Caenorhabditis elegans: one gene and its partners. The protein of the gene in region 4 interacts with the protein of the main gene of each other region in a pairwise test. Each region holds a gene or a part of one and is shown on either strand. Other genes may lie near its edges. The genes, in order: pqn-74, daf-4, appg-1 and pqn-71.

Region 1 (4,243 bases), on a different chromosome or scaffold from region 4:
TGCCGCGCGGGCGCGCGGATCTCTCTCTCCAAGATATCATTTTCGTTGTTCTCTTCTCACAATCCAACAGGAGCAACAAGCAACATACATACCCCCATACACAAACGGACCCGTTAGACTGTTGAAAAACCAACGAATAGAGTCACTCAACACACATTGTTCGCCTCCCCCCTCCTCACTTGCTCAACTGATGCTTCTTATTGCTCCCAACGGACGATTGGAAGGGCAAACTGGAATAAGATGATGCGCAGGAGAAGCACATGCGGACGAGACGCGGCGTCAACGAGCTCGCGCCCTCCCTCCTTCCTCCCCTCACCAACCTTTTTTTCAATTCTTCACTAATTGTTAGACAGGAGGGGTGGATATATGAAGTGCATATTATACGTACATCGGATACACACTGAGAACTAGGCGACGGGGGGGGGGGGGTGTTCTTCGGAGACCAGAGATTACGGGAAACCGATCCGTGTCTGGAACTTTGGGGGCACGAAAGAAACTTGAGAGAACAGGCTCTAATTGTAGAGCACATGCATGTCATACAGCGAACATGTTTGAAGTTTTGAATACAATTGATATACAAGTTAAATAAGCAGCGGACATCAATCCAGGTTCGCTATTGAAACGTGTGCCAGATTTTCACAAAGTTCGCCTAATTTGAGCACAATGTAAACGAACATCCGAAAAGTTCTCAATGTGCACTGACTAGGTCTGAACATCGAAAAATCGAGTTTTTACGCATTTTTTTCAATTGCCGGAAAATTTCAGTTTTGCAAAAAATATTTCAAGATTTTTTTCCTGAAAAAAATCAAAAAAAATCTGAAAGAATAGCGTTACGTCTCCATGGGTTTCCGAGACGAACAAAATTTTTTTCTATATGAGCGTGCGCTACAGTAACCCGCTCTTTTTTTTGGGGGATTTTTCAAAAACGTTTTTCTACAGAATAATATTTTGAAGAAAAAATGGGCAGTACTTCTTACTGTACTTCTGTACTTCTTAACGGCGCAGATACTTTTTGCGCGACCTCAATTTGAAAATATTAAGTTCGCTTTGAGAGTAGATCCTGTAAAAATTAAGCGTACTGTAGATTTTTTAAACATTTTAAAATCGCTTTTATAATCATCAGAAACAACAATTATCCATTTTTACGAGCGAAAATTGGCAATTTTAGACGATTCAAAAATTTTTGCAATATTTCATTTAAATTCCCAAATAATTTTTATGAATTGTGAAGTGATTTTGTACCGTAACCTTTTGTTTCCAGCTATCAAAAATGATGCAAATCAGAGAGAAAAGCTCAAGTAGAACGACACAAATAAACTTGAGTCAACAAGAACCAAAAGATGAAATATCTAGCGTCTAGAAGCTTCTTTTCCCATAACCTTCGGCCTTGCTTGACGCCGCAAAGCCAAAAAAGAGACTTGTAGTAGTGTAAGAGAACCAACTACTTAAACGGTTTCTGCGAAAGCATGCTCGAGTACACTACTGTCTGTAGTAAGTTGCCAATTTGCACGGACACACGGGTTTTGTTTGTTTACTCTGACAAACACAGTTTTTGATTTTCAAAAAATATGAACATAGAAAGCAAGAGAGAAGAGAGGGGGTATCAATTCCTATTGTAATCTTGTTAATCTATTTACAAGTATTCGCGGTGAGAAGTGGGTCGACGGGTGCGCGTGCGCTCCTCTCTCCGCATGCCATTCCACTGATGAGTTCCGGATTAGGGCGGGCTGAGAGAACCGCCTACTTCGGAGAGGGCGCGGGAGCCCTCCCCAGGTGTGCTCCAGAGCCAAATCGTATAAAAGCGCGACGAGTTTGCCGATTGAGCATCACACTAGCTTCTTCTCACTCATACACACATGGCGCGCTTCCTCCTCATTATCGGATGCGCTACTCTCGCAGGTTTATCACTTTTTTCTGATTTTTTAACAATTTTAACATTTTGTTTCATTCTTCCTTGATAACCTTTTCCATTTTCTTATAGCTCTCGCATCTTGCGAATCCAAGAGTGGTGAGGAAACTCCACAATACTGGAGAGCCATTCTTGGTGATATCTGCCAATTGCCATCGTTCCCTAGAGCCACTGGTGATCCAACCCGTTATGTTGAATGTGTTCGTCAATCCTCATTTGCTGCCGATAGGTAAGCCATTTTGATACTGAATACCTTTTTACCTTCATCCGCCTTCTCACATTTCCAGAAAAGATCTCGGAATCTGGCTTCTTCGTGAATGCCTCCCAGGATACGAGTTTGTTGCCTCCGCTCGCCGTTGTAAGACTGTCCGTTCTGTCAACAAACAACAAGTAATCCTTTACCTTTCACTCTTCAACCTTTTGTTTATCTTCTTGTTTATAGGAACTTTGCGAGTCTGCCAATGCCACCGAGTACAACTTCTGCCCAACTGCCTCGGCCATGCAATTCCTCGTTGAGGAGACCCGTGAGGCTCCAAGACAGTGCGCCTGTCCAAATGGAGAGCAAAACTGTGTCTGCCCATCGCCGGAAATCCTCGAGCCAATCTCTGCTGTCAAGAAGGTCCGCAGATCTGCCCAGCAACAGCCATTGAGATTCTCCCAATACCCATCATGCCCATGCCCACAGAACCAACCAGCCTGCACATGCTCTACCAACAATCAGCAGAATGAGCAGATCCTTGTCTCCATCTCCTGCTGCCAACAACAAGAGACCACCACCCAGGCTCCAGTTCAGATGCAACCATGCCAGTGCACCCCAACCCAAATTCAACAGAACTGCCAAACCACAACCACCCAGCAACAATACTGCCCACAACAATCTGCTCCAGTTGTCCAGCCACAGCCATGCCCACTCGGTAAGATCTTATGGTTCTAGAATCTACAATCTAAACCTTTCTATTTCAGTCCAAGGATCCGGAGTTCAAAACGCTCAATACCAAGGAATCTGCTCATGGATGATCGACCCACTTGCCACTGACCCACAATCCCGCACTCACTACCTTCAATGCCAGCCAGCTCCAAACAACTTGTTCTGCGGAAGATGGCAACGTATGCCATGTGCCCCAGGAACCGTCTTCGACGTCCAATCCCAAGTCTGCGTCTGGGACACCAACAGCCAGCCAGGAACTCTTCCAACTCCAGCCCCATACGTCTCCACCCAGGCTCCACAGAACGCTCAATGCGGATGCACCGGAGGAGTTCAAATCGGATCATGCAACCAAAACTACCAGTGCCCAGGACAATCGGTCTGCCAAGTCGGACAAAATGCCGGACAACAGGTAAGAGAGTAGTGTCTAGAAGCAAGAGATCGGCAACCAATTCAACCGGTTTCCGTTCTTGTGTGTGGCAATTGAGACGATTACAATAGGGACGGGGGTGTGTAAGAATGGGGAGGGAGGCTCGAATAGATCATAAGCAAACGAACACTCTTTCAGTGCATGGTTTGCTGCTACTTCCGCAAGAAGGCCCGTCGTTTCTAATCGATCGAACATCTCACACACATCATCATCGAACCAAAAACTGCTACAATCTTCTCGCCTTTTTGTATATACCGTGAAGAAAACAACAATCATGAAACGGATACGCATAGACAACCATAATTGTACCGCCTAGTTTGCCCTCACTTTTCCCCCGTCTTCCCCCAAATCCCCAATCCTTATTTGTATTCCGAATTGTCCAATGTCTAGGGTTTTCTCTCCAATGATAACTATTATATAACTTATGATGGTACTTCAATAAATATATATTTTCAATACTTTTCTGGTTTTTGTCTGATACCCCGGATTTGCAGTGATTTTAATGGTTTGTTCAAATATTTTAAACTCAAATACTTTGCTTATTGGAAAAATGTTTTCAACTAACAAAGTATTGACGAAAACTTTTTCTACACTTTGGATTTTTCAAAATTATACAACTCTGTTCCAGAAAAAAAGCTACAGCAGCTGACATCAGGCGGGTCGGTTTTTTTATTAGAATTTCCAAGTATCTAAACGCTTGGTGTTTTCATAAAACAAAGTTTAATAAGAAAATAATTTTCGCAGTTTTCTACTTTTTGCAATTTGTTTGTATTTCATATGAATCTCAAATTTCGAAATACATTTAATAAACATTTAAATTGTTATTGGTTTTTTAGTGGAGTACTTAAGCAATTATAGGAAGTGCAAATTGCAAAATGTAAAAAACTTTGTGGAGATAATTTTCTTAGTGTACCTTGTTTCATGAAAACACCTAATTTCAAAGGTACTTATTTTTAAATGACAACAAGCTTATTTTGGT
Region 2 (7,610 bases), on a different chromosome or scaffold from region 4:
TTTGGTCTTACACGCCTGCTGCTACCCTCTCCTCCTTCTTCTGCAACAACAACAAACCCACCGTGGTCACATGTGAATTTCGCCGAGTTTCACGCTCTTTTTCCCCCTTTTCTTTTTCGGCTTTTGCTGCAAAAATAGAACGAGTGAATAATACCCAGAAAAAAGCGAGTGCTTTGTTGTTGTCAAGGTAAACACAAAAAATATATGAAAAATGTTCAAAAAATATTCGTTTTGACATTCTCTTCTCCCACTTAAGTCGCTTGATTCAATGTGACGGGGAGGCTTGAGGCAGGAGGAAAAGTATAAATTCACCTGAAATAACGAATGGTGACATGTTTTTGAATAAGAAGAAGGAAAGGATGACGTTGAGTGGTACTTTCTATTTTCGTACGTTTTACAGAAAACTTATTGAAACTTAGCGCCCGACATCTAGCCCAAACTTGGACGAACACCTAAGCCTAAGCCCAAGCCTAAATCTCATTTTAGACTTTTAGCCGAGCCCACGCCTACTCCAATTCCGTTCTGCTGAAAAAAACATACGTTTTCCTGGTACCACGCACGAAATATAATCCTGAGAAACTTTTTTTGGTTACATTACATGTGTATAGCACATTATTTAATTTTTCCTCGAATTGCTAGTGTATTTTGGGAACCGAAATATGGAAAGTCCAGTTAGTCCGAACTTCGCCCATTTCCTATAAGGTGCAGGTGTTCATCGATACTATATTTTTCTCAAAGTTCCCGTTCTATAGACCCCGGAAGATCCCGCCTTCATTCTGTTTGGGCCCCGCCCAACTTTAGCCCCCTCCGATGAGAAAAAGAGCACAAGAGGACAGCGAGCCCCTCTTGTAAGGTTCTTGTAGGTCAGATTGTCACGTCATTTGATTTTTTGTTGTTGTTTATTAGAGAACATTGAATGAAAACCTTTTTTTATTTGAAACAAAAAGTAGAGAGTAGAGTTTGTAAAAGTGATAAGAGTGTACCAATCTTTGCTGTTTCCTCGTTCTTTTTCTCTTTTCTCTCTTCATTTCTGATGTGTGCTTCTCACTTCATTTTTTTTGCAAACTTTTTGTGCTTCCTTAACACTTTTCACATCTTTCGTTTGATGGAGATTGTGCAATTTATTCCTATTTTTACGGAATTTTTGAAAAATTTGGTTGACATTTTTTAGTTGAAAGTTTTGAACTCTCATGGTGCATCGAAGTAAAATTCAAACATTTTATTTTAAAAAAATGAAAAGTTTTTTGTTAAAAAAATTGGAAATTTCGAATGTCGAAATTCGAAATTTTTTTATCCGAAATTTCGATTGCTTTTATTTGAAATTAAGAAATTTAATTTTCATCAAAACTAAATTTTTAAAATTTTAGCTGGAAATTTTAGCAAAGCTGGCAATTTTATTTAATTTTATCGAAATTTTCGAATTTTCGAATTTTTGAAATTTTATTTATTTTTTCTCAAGTTGAATTTGTTGACCTATTTTTTTTATTTAAATAAGTTTGCATCTATTTTTCTCAATAAAACATTTGATCTTAATTATTTATTTATTTTACTCCTCAACTTTAAAAAAAACGTTACAATAATTCAACTACCTTCAATTTTCAGATGAATCAGAAAGGGACAGTACGTCTCAAGGCACTTGTGCTCATTTGCCTTCCACTCTTTTTAATTGCCACACCGGTTCCTGTTGCAGTCACGGAAGACGATCGTCAGGACCGAATCGAATCGGAAGCCGCCGAGAAAGAGGTGAGCATTTTTTGAGAAAATGTGTTTTTGTCGTAAACTTCTTTATTTTATTCTATCTCCTTGGTTTAACCATCTTTCAGTGGGCTAACACCCTAGTCAGCAAAGTAGCACAGTCAAATGGAACTGGCACTATTAAGGTCTCGGCACCAGCGAAGCCCACGTTAAGGAGAATGGACAATGAGGAGGATGAAGTGATTTCGATTGAATGTGTAGTAAGTTTTTGGATCAATTTGATGGAATTTAGGCTCATTAGATAGTGTTGACGTTTTGGGGATCAGAAATCAGTGACTCTCCCGTTTGTTTAAAAATTACTGGATCAAATACACTTTAATTCCAGTGAGCCCTGTTCCCCTTGTAGAGGTCGCAGAGCCAATCCACCCACATTCCACTGATCCTTGTTTCAATTAACTATAGTTACTTTAAAGTACCAAGATATTCTAAAAGGGATAAGTTCAAACCCGCAAGCTACAATAACTACAACTCCTTTTGTTTTTCAAGTGTTATCACTATTCCATAATTATAGGCTCTCTTCCCCAAAATTAAAGCAGTAGTAAAAACGTTAAACTTTAAAATTTTGCAGTACTACGACGAGATGGAATGCGAAAAGAGTGGCGATTGTGAAATCACAAAGAAGACGTGTTACAGTGAAGCTCATCTGAAAGCCGTCGGATGCTTGGCCGTATTTGGGCTGCCCACGCAAGAGGTTAGTGTGGAAGAGGTTTTTGGCGGCCACCCCCAGACCGAACTGTGTCACATGACGGGGGCCCTTTATATATATTGTTTCATTTGTTATTCATGAGTGACATCTTCTTCCTCTTCATCCGCGGAAGTATTTGTATCTTTTGCATTTTTTTTTCCATTCTGGCTTATGACTTTGTCAGCTGGAACAAATTGGGGTGACATGACTCGTGATTTTTGATAGTTTTGTAGGATGGAATTTGAATATCAAAATTAAAATCAGAATTGCATTAGTTTTATCGAAAACAAATACATATGAGCAAGGTTTTGGCCTTTTTGAAGACGACTTTGAAAATTTACTGAGCGACATAGGATTTAAACGTGGAACTTGATTCAAATTGAAAAAAATACTGCGGAAAAAGTTAATGATCAAGGCTTTATTATTCCTTTGCTACAAAGCTCTTCAAACCAAACTTAAAAGTTGTTGAGTTTATCAATCCAATTTTGATCGAATCCATTAAAAATGTGCAAACCAACTAATCCGGATTTAGCTGCCCATGTTTCAAAAGATGATTAATTGAGTAAAGGGGATAATAATAGATATATGCATCCATATTATAAACATCAAAAATCTTAAAATTTCCAGATAAACTCTACAGAACCATACCTGAAAGTTGATAAACCGCAATACAAAAGTCTGGGATGTATGCCGTATCAGCACGCGGACTCGATGAACTGCGAGAACGAAAGCTCCGTAAGTTATATTTCAGCATTCGGAGCACCTCATAAAACTGGAATTTCAGTGTCGCCAAGGACGATCATTTCGCGGCGGAATTGGAATGTGCTGCTGTTCGACCAACAATTGCAACATGCCGGATCTCATCGAGATGGTCAACCCGTCATTGAAGAAGGGTCAGTGAGCACATTATATTAAGAGAGCACTATATCCCATGTTTAACCCCATTCTTAGTATACTAGAGCAACACGCAATGATTCTGTTTTTGTGAATATACATATATATCACCTCCTTCTTTTTACCTTTTTTACCTTCTTTCTGTCCCACTTTCTGTTTAAATAACCTTCTTTCGGGTGAGCGTTGGGGCTAGAGGCTAGGGAGAAATTGTTGGCATTGAAATGAGAGGTTTTCTGTGAAACATTTAGCTTTAAGTTAGCAGAATTTTCACGAAAGTTGAACAACCACGCGTGTCTGTGCCTAGTTATTTTTTCGAAATACGGTTCATCATACGGAGGTTGCCTCCCATCAACTAAAATACGACAGAGTTGGAGCACATTCGAGAAAATTCCCAGGAAGTTAGACAAAAATGTGGCAAACTAACGACGAGTGTAGGGAGATAGTGGACGGAAGTTGGCAAACGTTGCGAGCAAATGAGAAGCACCAAATTGCAATATGTCCTAATGTAGAAGCGTTCAGGCGAAAGTTCGAGAGAGTTTGGCGATGTTTGGTTTGAGCTCGGCCACAGTAATAGGGAAAGTGACGCGAAGTGTGATCAATCTGAGTCAAGCTTTCGACAAGTGAAAGACGAGAGTAGGAGTTGAGGAGCGGGCCAGATGGAAGACGGAAGCTGCGACGAATCTTCAACTAATTTATGAGCGTTGAAAAAAAAAGTTGGAGAGAGGTTATGGGGTTATTCAAGTAGTGTCGGAAAATTAAAAAGTGTAGAAAAATTACGTCACAACCTTATTCAAGTAGATAAAAACATGTATTTAAATACATTTGTGACGTCACAAATGTATTTAAATGCATTTTGCTACATTACTTGAATAACCCCATTAGAAAATTTTGAATGGTCTCTACGGATCTCAGCAAACGTTCGTCCAAACTGCGACAACCTTATGACGCGTTTATGATAAAATTTGAAGTTGAGACAATGAGAGAGAAGGATAACCGAGCAGAGGTTGAGAAGAAAGCTCGAGAGAGCTTGGCAAACATTGAAAGATAGTTCAGCTAGCCCTGAGACAATATTTTGCGCCAAAGCTGAACAAATTTCCGGTGGAAGTCAATCGGAAATTAAGAAAAATATGGAGAACTTCCCATTACTTTAGCTATACTCCTCCCAACCTTTCCCCGTGTACCCTCAACCTGAAAGAATCCACCTCTGTAAAAGCCTGCAGTTGTCATAAACCTTGTTCCCAATTTCTCTTCCCTTTCCTAATTTTCTCCGAAAAAAATGCACGTGGACCTCTCCAGATTGTCTCCTAATTTTCTCTTACCCCTCACACATACACACACACACCATTCATGCAATTTTATGTTTGTTCTTGTGGCTTTGCAAGTAAACCACTTTTTTATTTCAACTTTCTTTTGTTCTTTCTGTTTCTAGAGGCGATTCGCAACGACACTCTGCTGTTATTTGGCTCCTCCCCTCCAGTGAGCGGAGTGTCGTTGCAAAGTGAAACAAACGCTTTTTCGTAATAATTTGCACCCGTGGAAGATGCCTGTACACACACACACACATACAAATAAAAACATGTACACATTTTGAAATCACCTATTTAGAGCCGATAAAATTTCAGATTCGGATAATTCTGCACTTCTGTGGGCTTCAACTCCATCCAACATGGATTTGGAATCTCTAGGTACTGTCTGCATCTACGTCTCGGGGCTAGCTGGGTACTAACTAGGTGCTAAACACCCTCTACCACACATCCCCCACTCTTGTCAGTTTCTCAATGGAGCGAATTTGCAGACAAGTTCCCATTCTACTGGATCATCATAATCGCACTGTCAGTGATCCTTTGTATTGCACTCTTGATCTTGGCATACGTTGGTTGGAAATTTCAGCAGAATAAGAAGGAGGAGATAAAAAAGCAGCAGAAAATTAAATTTGACATGGCGAGTTTTGTCTTTTTTGAAATCGAATCAATTTTCGAAATTTTCAGGAAAAAACTGACGCACTGGAAGCTGGAAATGTGCCTCTCGTGGAGCCGGAAGAGGAAATGATTGAAATGGTGGAGACACCAAAGGAGCTGCCGATCACTGATTTTCAGGTATGTAGGTACCGCAAGAGTCGTGCTTGATATTTTATATTGAAACATGCTCTCTAAATCTAGAATACAACATTTGAATTTTGAAAAAAAAACCATATTGGTGAAACTTTTCAGCTTTACATGAATTTTTTAAAAATTATCAAAAACAATTGTTAACATAACTTAAAAACAACGAACAATTCTGAAAACATTTGAATTTATGGTTTTTTAACAGTGTCGGGGAACGTTTTCATTTGGCATTGGAGCGCATTTGCACTTTGATTTCAAAATTCACATATTTCGCGTCTTCATAATAGTTCGTCTTTTTGATATTTTGCTCGGAAGTTCGACCTCACGGTGTAAACTTTTGATGTCCACTACTTTGTGAACTCTGAGCTTTTCCTTACTTTTTCTTTATCTTTGAGAAAAAATGTTGAAAACAACAGAAGGCTCTTTTCATGAGCTGATTGACGTCACACTTACACTCAATGACATTTGTTCGTTTATTGCAGTTAATCTCAAAGGGACGTTTTGGAAAAGTTTTCAAGGCGCAATACACCCCAGACAGTGGTGAGAAACGATTGGTTGCGGTGAAGAAATTGAACGAATTCCAAAAAGCGAGCTTTTTGGCGGAGAAAAGAATCTTTGATGAGCTTAACGAGTACCCGAAGTGGTATAAAAGTATCGTCGAATTTGTGTGCGCCGAGAAAATTGGTGATGAGTATTGGATTGTGACCGAATTTCATGAGCGACTTAGTCTCTATGAGTTACTCAAGAATAATGTAATTAGTATTACATCTGCCAATCGAATTATTATGTCAATGATCGATGGGCTTCAATTCTTGCATGACGACAGGCCGTACTTCTTTGGACACCCAAAGAAGCCAATTATTCACAGGTTAGTGGAAAATGAAAATAATTAGAAAATTTTTAATGGATCTGACTTGTGATCGCCCTCCAACTAGTTTTAATGCTCAGAACTTTACTCTAGGTTGGTCCTAGAAAAAATCGGAAGAAGTTGCTAAGTTGCGCTTGAGCAGCCGACATTTTCAGGATCAATTAATAGTAGCGTGGACCTACAAGTTGTCGGCTGCAATTTCCAGTAAATATTTTTTGAAATACACACGATAGAGTCCAAAATGATAGGGTAAAATATTGAAAAAAAAAAACCAATTTTTAGGCGCATGACAATTTTCAGTTGAAGTTTCGAAAAGTTAGGGTTTAGAAAAAAAATAAAAATTCAAACAATTTTGTACATTGGAACACCTAAAGTATCTAGAGTTAATTAGAACATAATCAGAATATAAATTTCGCGGGAAAATTGTGTACAAAGTGTTATTATGATATTCGGTTTACTATCGGAGAGATTCTAACCAATGCTCCCAGTAACACTACGTTACCTTTTAAGAGCAGGTAGCGAGTTTCAACGACGCACGACGCTGGTTAGTGTATGCTCCAAACTGTTTCTAATGTCTGTACTTATTCAATTCAATAACCAATTTTTTGCAGAGATATCAAGTCGAAGAACATTCTTGTGAAAAGCGACATGACCACATGCATCGCGGACTTTGGCCTCGCCCGAATCTACAGCTATGACATTGAGCAAAGCGATTTGCTGGGTCAAGTGGGAACGAAACGCTACATGTCACCAGAGATGCTCGAAGGAGCAACCGAATTCACGCCAACTGCTTTCAAAGCGATGGACGTTTATTCGATGGGACTCGTCATGTGGGAAGTCATATCCCGTACCAAGTTGCACCAAACCGACGAGCCACCAAACTACCAAATGCCGTTTCAAGTCATCGGATTTGATCCCACAATTGGTCTCATGAGAAATTATGTGGTGAGCAAGAAGGAACGACCACAATGGAGAGATGAGATTATTAAACATGAATATATGAGTCTGCTAAAAAAGGTTACGGAAGAGATGTGGGATCCCGAAGCGTGTGCACGGATTACAGCTGGATGTGCGTTCGCGAGGGTATGGAATCATATTATGAGCTCACCGGACAGTTCGGAGGGGTATCACAGTGGAAGTAGTATGAAGAATCGGGGTGTTGATGATGTTGAACAAAGTGAGAAGCCGGAGGGTATCGAAGAAATGCAACATTATCATGCGTCGTCACCCAGCAAGAGACAACATCCTAGTCCGAATCCGTTTTTTGATTCGTGTCCACCACCTCCGCCGATTCCTGTGATCC
Region 3 (4,755 bases), on a different chromosome or scaffold from region 4:
ATGTGAGCACCAATGTCTTCCTAACAATCCGAACTGTATGGCAGCTTGCCAAACGACTTGTTACCCAGTATGCCAATCGAAAATGCGTCGTCGCATGAAAGAAACGAAAAATCAACGAACTGAAGATTTTGCTCATCGTCAGTGAATAATCAATTATTTATTTATTGATTCGATTATTTTGTATTTATTTATGTACCATCAGTATTCTAATGTTTTTGGGAGTAATTTAAGATTTTATGGTAATTTGCAATTTGACGAGTTAGTCAATGTATGTAGCGAATAAAACGTATTGAATTCAACAAGCCATTATTTTTATGAACGCCAAGTCGGCCATCCCAATTTAAAACATCCAAAATCCCAATATATATTTTTGTACTTTGATACAATAATTAATTGTGTAAAGAAAATACAATCAGAATACAAATTGACATGTATCATTTCGAAAGTTCCCATACAAGAAAATTATTACATTTATCACTTGAAATTAAGTTGGTCCAAATATGTTAGAGCTAAAATTCTATTGAGCTCACTATCAGGACTCCGTTTGTTCAAACATCTTTATTTATTTCAGTTGAATAAAAAAGTTGCCGAGACATTTGAAATATGGTGATTGAATGCAAAATCAATTGCACGTTTTTCCGTGAAGAGTCTAGACAGTTGGGAAACTTGGAATGATAGCTGAAAATATGCATGTTCCCTCAATAATGTGAACCGCCATAAAAAAGTTATTGGAAAATTTCAAGACGTCTCATTGCGAATTTCAGGCCATTTGATACCTTCAAGTCTAATAGGGCATTGTCCCAATTTTCGGTACTCCTTCAAATCTTAGCAAATCAATAAAACTGGCAAAATAAACAAAAAGATACATTTATAAACGGCCTCCTATTCCAACCAAAATGGAATATTTAAACTACTTTACTAGTCTGTATTTTTAAATCAGTACTTATATTCTGTAAGTTCTAAATTAGTACAGAACACAATATCTCAGCATTTCTAGTTCAACGACAACGAAAAAACTTATAATTTCCGTTTAAATTTGTATCAAATTGAAACCTCCGTCACTATCTTCATCGAAACAATCCCAATTTGGTTCACCCCTTTGCTTTTTCCTGCCACTACAATCATCAATGTATGCTCATCAATAATCATCCTAATCACCAGCTTAATCACACAATGTCCTTTCTTCTCAAGCATGCCCCCATTCTAAAAAACAAACATCGGTGGAACAGACAAGAGGATGACCCCCTTCCGTCCTTTCCGAACTCTCCAAATTAGTGCCGATTTCCTTCCCCGCAAAAAGTTCGGGTAGCTCTCCAGTCGATTCAAGCGGCCAACAACGAACATACATTGACAATTTGTACATGGCGAAATACAAACAAACAGGATTCAAAAATTGCCTTGGGAAGCCATGGGGGCTCTCTCGTCCAGCAGGAGCACCAACGCGTCAGGCTGTCCTTTTTGCCGCGCGGAAATGCTCCGCCTCTGAGCGCGCATTCCGCGAAGCTTTTACCGCCCTCCTATCGCCCCCTCCGGAGAGCTCTTCAAGCAGTAAGAGAGAAGCAGAGTGAGAAATAGATTTTGAAGGATTTGTGTGTGTGTGTGTGAAGACTTATTATATACCATTTCTGTCTGTTAATAATCTTGTATCCGTACTCTTATTCATATTGTTCATCACTTAAATTCATATACAGTAATCCAATCCCTCCTGGATCTGAGAATTAGGAATCAATCATAAAATCTTCCCGATGGGACGCTCGAATTCTCTTCGGCTACTATTCTTATTCTGCCTTCTTTTGGCACTTTCTACTGCTGCGGTGAGTTTATTTTTGGTTTTTTGTTGGTAGTTACTTTGACTTTATTTGCTTTTGAATTGTTTGCTCGTAACTTGACCTGCTCGGTAAACTGGACTAATTAAAATCCTTTTGAAACTTTTGCGGTCAACCACTGTTAATTAGTCAGATATTTGTCTTCTCACAAAATTAAAGAGTTTTATAACTTATTTTATACGAACCATCTCTTATTAGCTTACTTTGGTTTGGTAAATCTTTATTTTGGGTGTGAACTTTGGTATTAACTGTATCGAACATTAGGTAACAAGCCTTCAATGTCTGTAACATAATTTGTAAACTAGATTGTGTTTCTTTAAGAGTCTTTGTTGCAAGTTTTAAATTTTGTGAAAATACCGTTTTTATCAGTATTAGAAAAAATTAGTTCTCTGCAATTTCTGAAAATCATTTTCTATGGATTTCTATTTTTTCGAAAAAATAATTCTATTGAAAGTACATTTTTGAAGATTACAAAACTTCAATTAGTCTATCCCTACAATATTTTATGTTGTGGGAACAATTGATGGGTTTGAAACTAGAATTTGATGACGCAACATTTTTTTTTAATTTTGCAGCTAGTGAATTCTAACAATTGCAGACTTTCTCTCTAACAGATTAATCAAAAAATAAATTAAAATTGTTTTGACCTTTTGGGAGCAATTTTATTCTAATTGTAGGAAAAATAAAAAACTTGTAAAAAAATTCAATTTGAGAATGGTTCCAATTTGGTTTTGACGGTTCAGTTTTACCATAATCCATTATTTCAAAACTACAAGGAGACAATCTTGGAAAAACGAGTCATGTTAGTATACCGGCTCTGTGACATTGATGCCTACCTGTGCGCCTACAGTATTTTTGTAGTCGACTGCAAAAAGCATGGTATGAATGTAGTAGGTCACTTTCAAGTCGAGTTTAATGCCTACATTGAGTGTCTGGTAAAAATGCTACTAAATATTGCTCTAGACAAACTCACCATTAAATCATGCATTAACCCAACTTTATTTCGAAACATTTTGATTCACATGGGCCAAAGTCTAAAGAATTTTGACAAAACTCCGCCCCGATTCTTTGACCCGATTCCTCTTCTTTTTATTCCAAATCGAGTTTTCTTCCCAAAAAGCCTGCTCATTCCAAGACAGTCAAACGAAGGTTTCTATTTCAATTTAGTCGGCGTCTCGTCCATTTCCACTGGCTCCAAGGTCTCTGTGTTGCGCGAGAGTTTGTTTCTATTGTCAGGCAAAGGTGAACACAATGAAAACAGAAAGTAAACACCCATTCGCCAGAGAGAGAAAAAGATTCGGTTTTTCTCCCAATTCTTTAACATCATGACCCCGTCATACACACAAAATGTCTGGTGAAATGGAAATTGGGTGAGAAGGAGAAAACATTTGAAAATTTAGAATGTTTCTTCTTCTTCTTCTTCATGGGATGGTGAATTAACAAAGGGATGCACAAAAATGGAAAAAGCGGAAACAGGAAACATCTGTTTTGAAACCGATATTGTTGCGAGAAACCGTAATTCGAAAACCGGAAGATCCTTCCATTTTTGGATTACTAAAATTACTAGACATCAATAAAAAATTAGTTTTTTTTAACTATAGCTTATGCTTCAATTTTTATTGGATCCAAATATTTATTGTTCACACATAGTCTCTTGGCTCTGGTACATTCTCAATTAAAATTCAGTAAAAACCCCGCAGCTTCCTCGAAATAGCGTAACTTTCTGTCAAGCTTTTTGCAATTTTCTGACATTTTCCTGATGAGAATCTTTTCCAGGAACTTACCTCCAGCAACTTATTCGATCATATCTTTAGAAATTGCCTAATTGTTTGCAGAAAGTTGATCCAAAATCCCGAGTTCACCGGGAAGGCTAAAGAATTTCCAAACTTTGAAAAAATTTGAACTGAACATTTTTTCATGCTGCCAAATCTTGATTATGTATCTTACCTCCCGTAAACTTTTTTATCTGAAAATCCACAAAATCTCCAGGTATATTGCCGAAACCGCCTCAGACCCACACACACGCAATAGTTCGCCCCACCAAGTCCTAATGTTTGATTACCGGGGGCGTCGTCTTAAAAGAGTCAATAGATGAATGACCAACCGGGAAATCGGATATCCGATATTCGAGAATGATATCGCCAAGGAAATGTGTGTGTGTATGTGTGTGTGTGGGATAAGGAAAGGTGATAAGGGGGCCCACTTATCAATTGTCACCTTTTCAAGAGTTTTGTTGCACTACGTAATAATAAAATCAGCGATTTCCGTATTTGGTTGGAGGGAAAATTAACGGTCTCCTTTGAGCAAATGGAACTAGATAAAAAATAAAATGGTAACCTCACATTTTGGAAATTACTTCAAAATTGAAAAGCAAAATTCAACTCTTTTTGATTTCTCTGTACAAGAAGTTCCTAAAATTTTTATCTATTTGAAAACTATTGTTCGTTTGGATTACTCTACATTACAGTACGGATTACAGTACGGGAGTGTTGTGTATTCGAAGGCGAGACGAGGAGAGAAGACGAGTAGTTTATTACATTACTAAACTAAGGAATAAATAAGTTAGTTCATAGAGTTCACGTTGCACGATCTTCTTAGCCACGTCGTGGGTCAATACACGTTGATACCCAACAGGGAGGGTCACGGTAACAGTATAAATTGATGTTCTATTTGTTAATTAATCATCAACCAACTCAACTTTAAGTTAGAATTTCTATGACTTGACATACTTTAAATTGGCATTTGTTGGGAAAATGTGTCTTTTTACACAGTAGTACAACTGTTTACACTGTTACCGTACCCCTACCGTACCCAGCCACAATGTTACAGTAGCACCAGTAGCATTCAAGATAAATTTTGCAACAGTACTGCTACAGCATTCATACCGTACTACTACAGTAACCCTAAAGTGTCCCGTCATAAATCTTAA
Region 4 (3,628 bases):
GGCATGAGCAGCTGTTCCAAGTTGTTTGAATTAAAATACTTTTAAAATTAAAAAAAACTGGATTTCTCGGTATCCCTTTAAATCTTATAGTTAGTCCCCCTGTTTTAAAATTCAATATACCAAAAATGTTTAGTTCAACACACGAGCCTCAGCTGGAGCGTTTTATTTTTCAATTAAAGTTTTACGAATGCTACTATTTCACGAGAGAAACCAGAATTTACAAAAACAATTTCTGAAAAAAAAACTCACCTTCGCCAAATTCGAGTGTCCCTTTAAAACTTCGAGATTCGCATTTGGATTCGGCTCAGAGACGGGCGTCTTCCATACGGGCTTAACCGCAATAATCGGCCCAAAAACCGCGAAAATCACGGGGAAACATGAGAGTAAGGGCCTCATCAGGCCCACGTTTTAGGCCTCTAGTTTTTGTCCGAGATTTAGGAAAACAATACGGGAGAAAACAAGAACAACAGGGAGGCAAAGAAGTGAGGAAACGGGTGAGGGGGGAGAATGGACATTCCAACATTATTAGATCGATTTAAGCGATATCGTCTGGTTATGATCGACGGAAATCCCTTTTGAATAGACGCTTTTTAAGGAGGGGAAACAGAAATGAAAACTGAGAAAATCGGGAATGAGGGAAAGTGACGGCAGGAAATGAGACTAAATTGGTCATCGATGTGTTGAAATTCTGGATTTTTTTTCGGTTTTGAAAATCTGCTGAATAGAAGATATTTTATTTGAAACAACACAGTTCAGTTATGTTATCGAGAAAAAAAATTACTGAATATAAACTTTACACTAGAAAGATGAAATTAAACATTTTTGCGTCAAATTTTCAATTAAAAATAATTGAAAACTAAACTTTAAAGCCGTTGTAACACCTTATACAGCAATTTTTTATGCAAAATTTTTCACAAATATTTGTTCAATTAATACATATTTATGTTTGAAAACATTAAAATTTTCCATGCCAACTAGATGTACTAGTTGACCACCAGGCGCGCCTCTCGATTCTCTCCCGATTCCGTTTTCTAAAGACCAATTCTAACACCGCCGCCGTGGCCTCCTTAGCTCAGTTGGTAGAGCGTGAGACTTTTAATCTTAAGGTCAGGGGTTCGAGTCCCCTAGGTGGCTTGATTTTTTTGTTTTTTTTTTCATTGTTGAAAAATTGTTTCTTTCTCAATTTTTTTCAAAAGGAATGGGCCGAACCGGGGATTGAACCCGGGACCTCTCGCACCCAAAGCGAGAATCATACCACTAGACCATTCGGCCACGAGAGACATGCTTCACGGAGGTATACACAATTGAGAGGAACAGAGATAGCGCTGGCCAGAGGAGAGTGTAATGCAAATAAACGATTATGGGGAATGAATAATAAATTGAGAATTTAATTCTGTTTTACTTCAAACTTATATATTTATTTCAAAAATAACTGAACAAACATGAATAACTCTGATTAAGAACCAGTTTTCCTCCATCATGCTCAACAAACAAACAAAAGATAAGTTGATTTATCGGGTCAATGAAAAATGCAAACATTGTAAACTTTTGATTAGGATTTTCAAGAAAAAAAAACGTGTCTAACTAGAAACAAAAGTGTAGGTTGGTAAACAACATGAAAAAGTATAAAAGTGGCAAGAATTACACGGGGTATACTCACAGAATCCCATTGAGCGATGCGTTGTGTGATTATATTGTTTGCAGTTGCTTTGGCTGTGGCTCAGGTTAGTTTTTCAATTTTAAACTAATTGTAAGGAATTTGAAAATTTATAATTTCTAAGTGCTGAGAGAAAGCCTAATAATTGTATTTTCTTTTCGCAATTTCGTGTTAACAAAACTACTTGAAATGTGAATTGGCGCTTTAACGACTGTTTTTGAACCTCTTCGAATTTCAATTTTCGACATCATTAACTGAAAAATCTCCTTTTTTAGAGTAATATCTGTATTCCCGTATATGGAAGTAGACCGACCCTGTTTTAATGTGGGCCGATAAAAATCTCGTAGTGACGTTTAAAATTGATAGAAGCATTCCAATTAACGACGTGTTTCTCAACTCAATTTGATTTCAGGCCTCCTCAATCCGCGAAACCCGTCAAGCCTCCTGCGGATGTGCTCAATCGGTTCAGCCGACCTGCTCCTGCCAGCAGGCCTCACAACAATACAGCTGCTCCTGCCAACCTTCAACTCCATGCTCTTGCGCCAGCAGCCAGCAATATCAATTGCAGACGTCTCAATGCATGCCTGCTTGTCAACAGTCCTGCAGTCAACAGTGCCAATCTAACACCAACACTCAATGCCAGCCAACGTGTCAGCAATCCTGCCAGACATCGTCTTGCAATCCGATGACTTCCACACCAATTCCAGCGTCGCAAAGTTGTCTTCCAGAGTGTGAGAACCGATGCATGCAGCAGTGTACTCAACAGCAGACCGCGCAACAGTGCCAGCCAATTTGTCAGCAGCAGTGCCAGCAGGAATGTGGGTCCACAGGAAATATGATGTACAATAATCAGGATCCGTATAATCAAATGCAGTATGGAGGGTACAATCAGCAAGGAAATCAGTACCAGAACCAAAATCAGTACCAAAATCCAAACCAGATCCAAAATCAGTACAACCAGAACCAGTACCAAAACCAAAACTACTACAACCCTTACCAACAAACTCAATGCCAACAACAATGTGCTCCACAATGCTCTCAACAAACTTCCACCAACTGCCAGCAGTGTCAGAACTCCTGCCAGAACAGCAACACTCAAACCATAACCATCTACGTGCAAGCCTCCCCACAGACCTCCCAATGTGTTCCCCAGTGCCAGCAACAATGCCAACAGCAGTGCCAAACTAGAACCACGGCCTCCCAACAGTGTGCTCCAGCTTGCTCGACATCCTGCAATCAATCCTGTAATCAGCCGGCCCAAATGGCATGTCAACCAATGCAAAATAGTCAGTGCGGATGTCAACAAAACTATTCGCCGTGCGGAAATGTCTCCGGGCAGTGTTGTTTGAAGAAGTAAAATTCTTGAAGATTGTATTTCTGTAAATCTAGGAAATGATGAATAAATGTTTCTCACTACCAGTTTTTTTGTTAAATGGGTCCTTTCAAAAGTGCTGAAGCTAATAAATTTGGTACCTGGTATTCACACAACATTTTTTGTTGAATGGAAAAAAGGTGGATGTACCTTTAAAGAGTACTGTAGTTTCGAGCTCTGTTTTTCAGGAATAATCATTTCGAGACCCGGAAAAACAATTAGAAATATTAAGAAAACTATTGTTGTATTGAAATTATGTTGATAAGATTTTATAGAAGATGACCGAAAATGTTTTAAAATTTATAATTGATTAGTATTTTTCGAATTTTTGTTTTCAGAATCAAGGAAAAATCGAAAACTCGACCCACTTGGTCCCTGTTGTTTGTTCTGCTACTACGTAGTAGTTGAGTGAGAGCAAGAAGAGGTGAAAAGTGCATTGAGAAAAAGAGACAAAAAGTTACCCCTTCAAATGCATATCGCTACATATATATAAATAGATGTCCAACTTTTTTCGCACTTTTCAATGAAAAGAAGGGGAAAGTTTATTAGTAATTTTTTTGAATTTTGAAATGTATATTTTTAGGTAGGAAATTTTCGAT

Evidence for each region.
Region 1: the proteins of pqn-71 (region 4) and pqn-74 interact in a two-hybrid assay, tested with the Caenorhabditis elegans proteins (one study listed by BioGRID).
Region 2: the proteins of pqn-71 (region 4) and daf-4 interact in a two-hybrid assay, tested with the Caenorhabditis elegans proteins (one study listed by BioGRID).
Region 3: the proteins of pqn-71 (region 4) and appg-1 interact in a two-hybrid assay, tested with the Caenorhabditis elegans proteins (one study listed by BioGRID).

The regions. Positions count from the first base shown.
Region 1 is NC_003282.8:13,328,987-13,333,229, reverse strand, and holds pqn-74 (Chitin-binding type-2 domain-containing protein), read left to right. Parts: upstream 1-1,823; 5' UTR 1,824-1,856; coding exon 1,857-1,899; intron 1,900-1,979; exon of another isoform or gene 1,980-1,981; coding exon 1,982-2,138; intron 2,139-2,196; coding exon 2,197-2,299; intron 2,300-2,351; coding exon 2,352-2,823; intron 2,824-2,872; coding exon 2,873-3,246; intron 3,247-3,402; coding exon 3,403-3,447; 3' UTR 3,448-3,723; downstream 3,724-4,243.
Region 2 is NC_003281.10:5,623,540-5,631,149, forward strand, and holds the start of daf-4 (Cell surface receptor daf-4), read left to right. Parts: upstream 1-1,602; coding exon 1,603-1,743; intron 1,744-1,823; coding exon 1,824-1,955; intron 1,956-2,323; coding exon 2,324-2,446; intron 2,447-3,067; coding exon 3,068-3,175; intron 3,176-3,224; coding exon 3,225-3,333; intron 3,334-3,404; exon of another isoform or gene 3,405-4,667; intron 4,668-4,956; coding exon 4,957-5,019; intron 5,020-5,129; coding exon 5,130-5,275; intron 5,276-5,322; coding exon 5,323-5,430; intron 5,431-5,921; coding exon 5,922-6,307; coding exon of another isoform or gene 6,308-6,332; exon of another isoform or gene 6,333-6,559; intron 6,560-6,918; coding exon 6,919-7,610. UniProt on the Caenorhabditis elegans protein: Involved in a TGF-beta pathway. May be a receptor for TGF-beta-like ligand daf-7. Controls the decision of whether or not larvae enter a developmentally arrested state, known as dauer, in response to environmental conditions.
Region 3 is NC_003280.10:10,324,549-10,329,303, forward strand, and holds the start of appg-1 (Activated in Blocked Unfolded protein response), read left to right. Parts: upstream 1-1,745; coding exon 1,746-1,814; intron 1,815-4,755. Other genes in the region: idpp-4 (Intrinsically Disordered Protein, expressed in Pharynx), read left to right, coding at 1-145.
Region 4 is NC_003283.11:15,464,025-15,467,652, forward strand, and holds pqn-71 (Prion-like-(Q/N-rich)-domain-bearing protein), read left to right. Parts: upstream 1-1,652; 5' UTR 1,653-1,676; coding exon 1,677-1,724; intron 1,725-2,069; coding exon 2,070-3,014; 3' UTR 3,015-3,076; downstream 3,077-3,628. Other genes in the region: rocf-1 (ZP domain-containing protein), read right to left, coding at 250-396.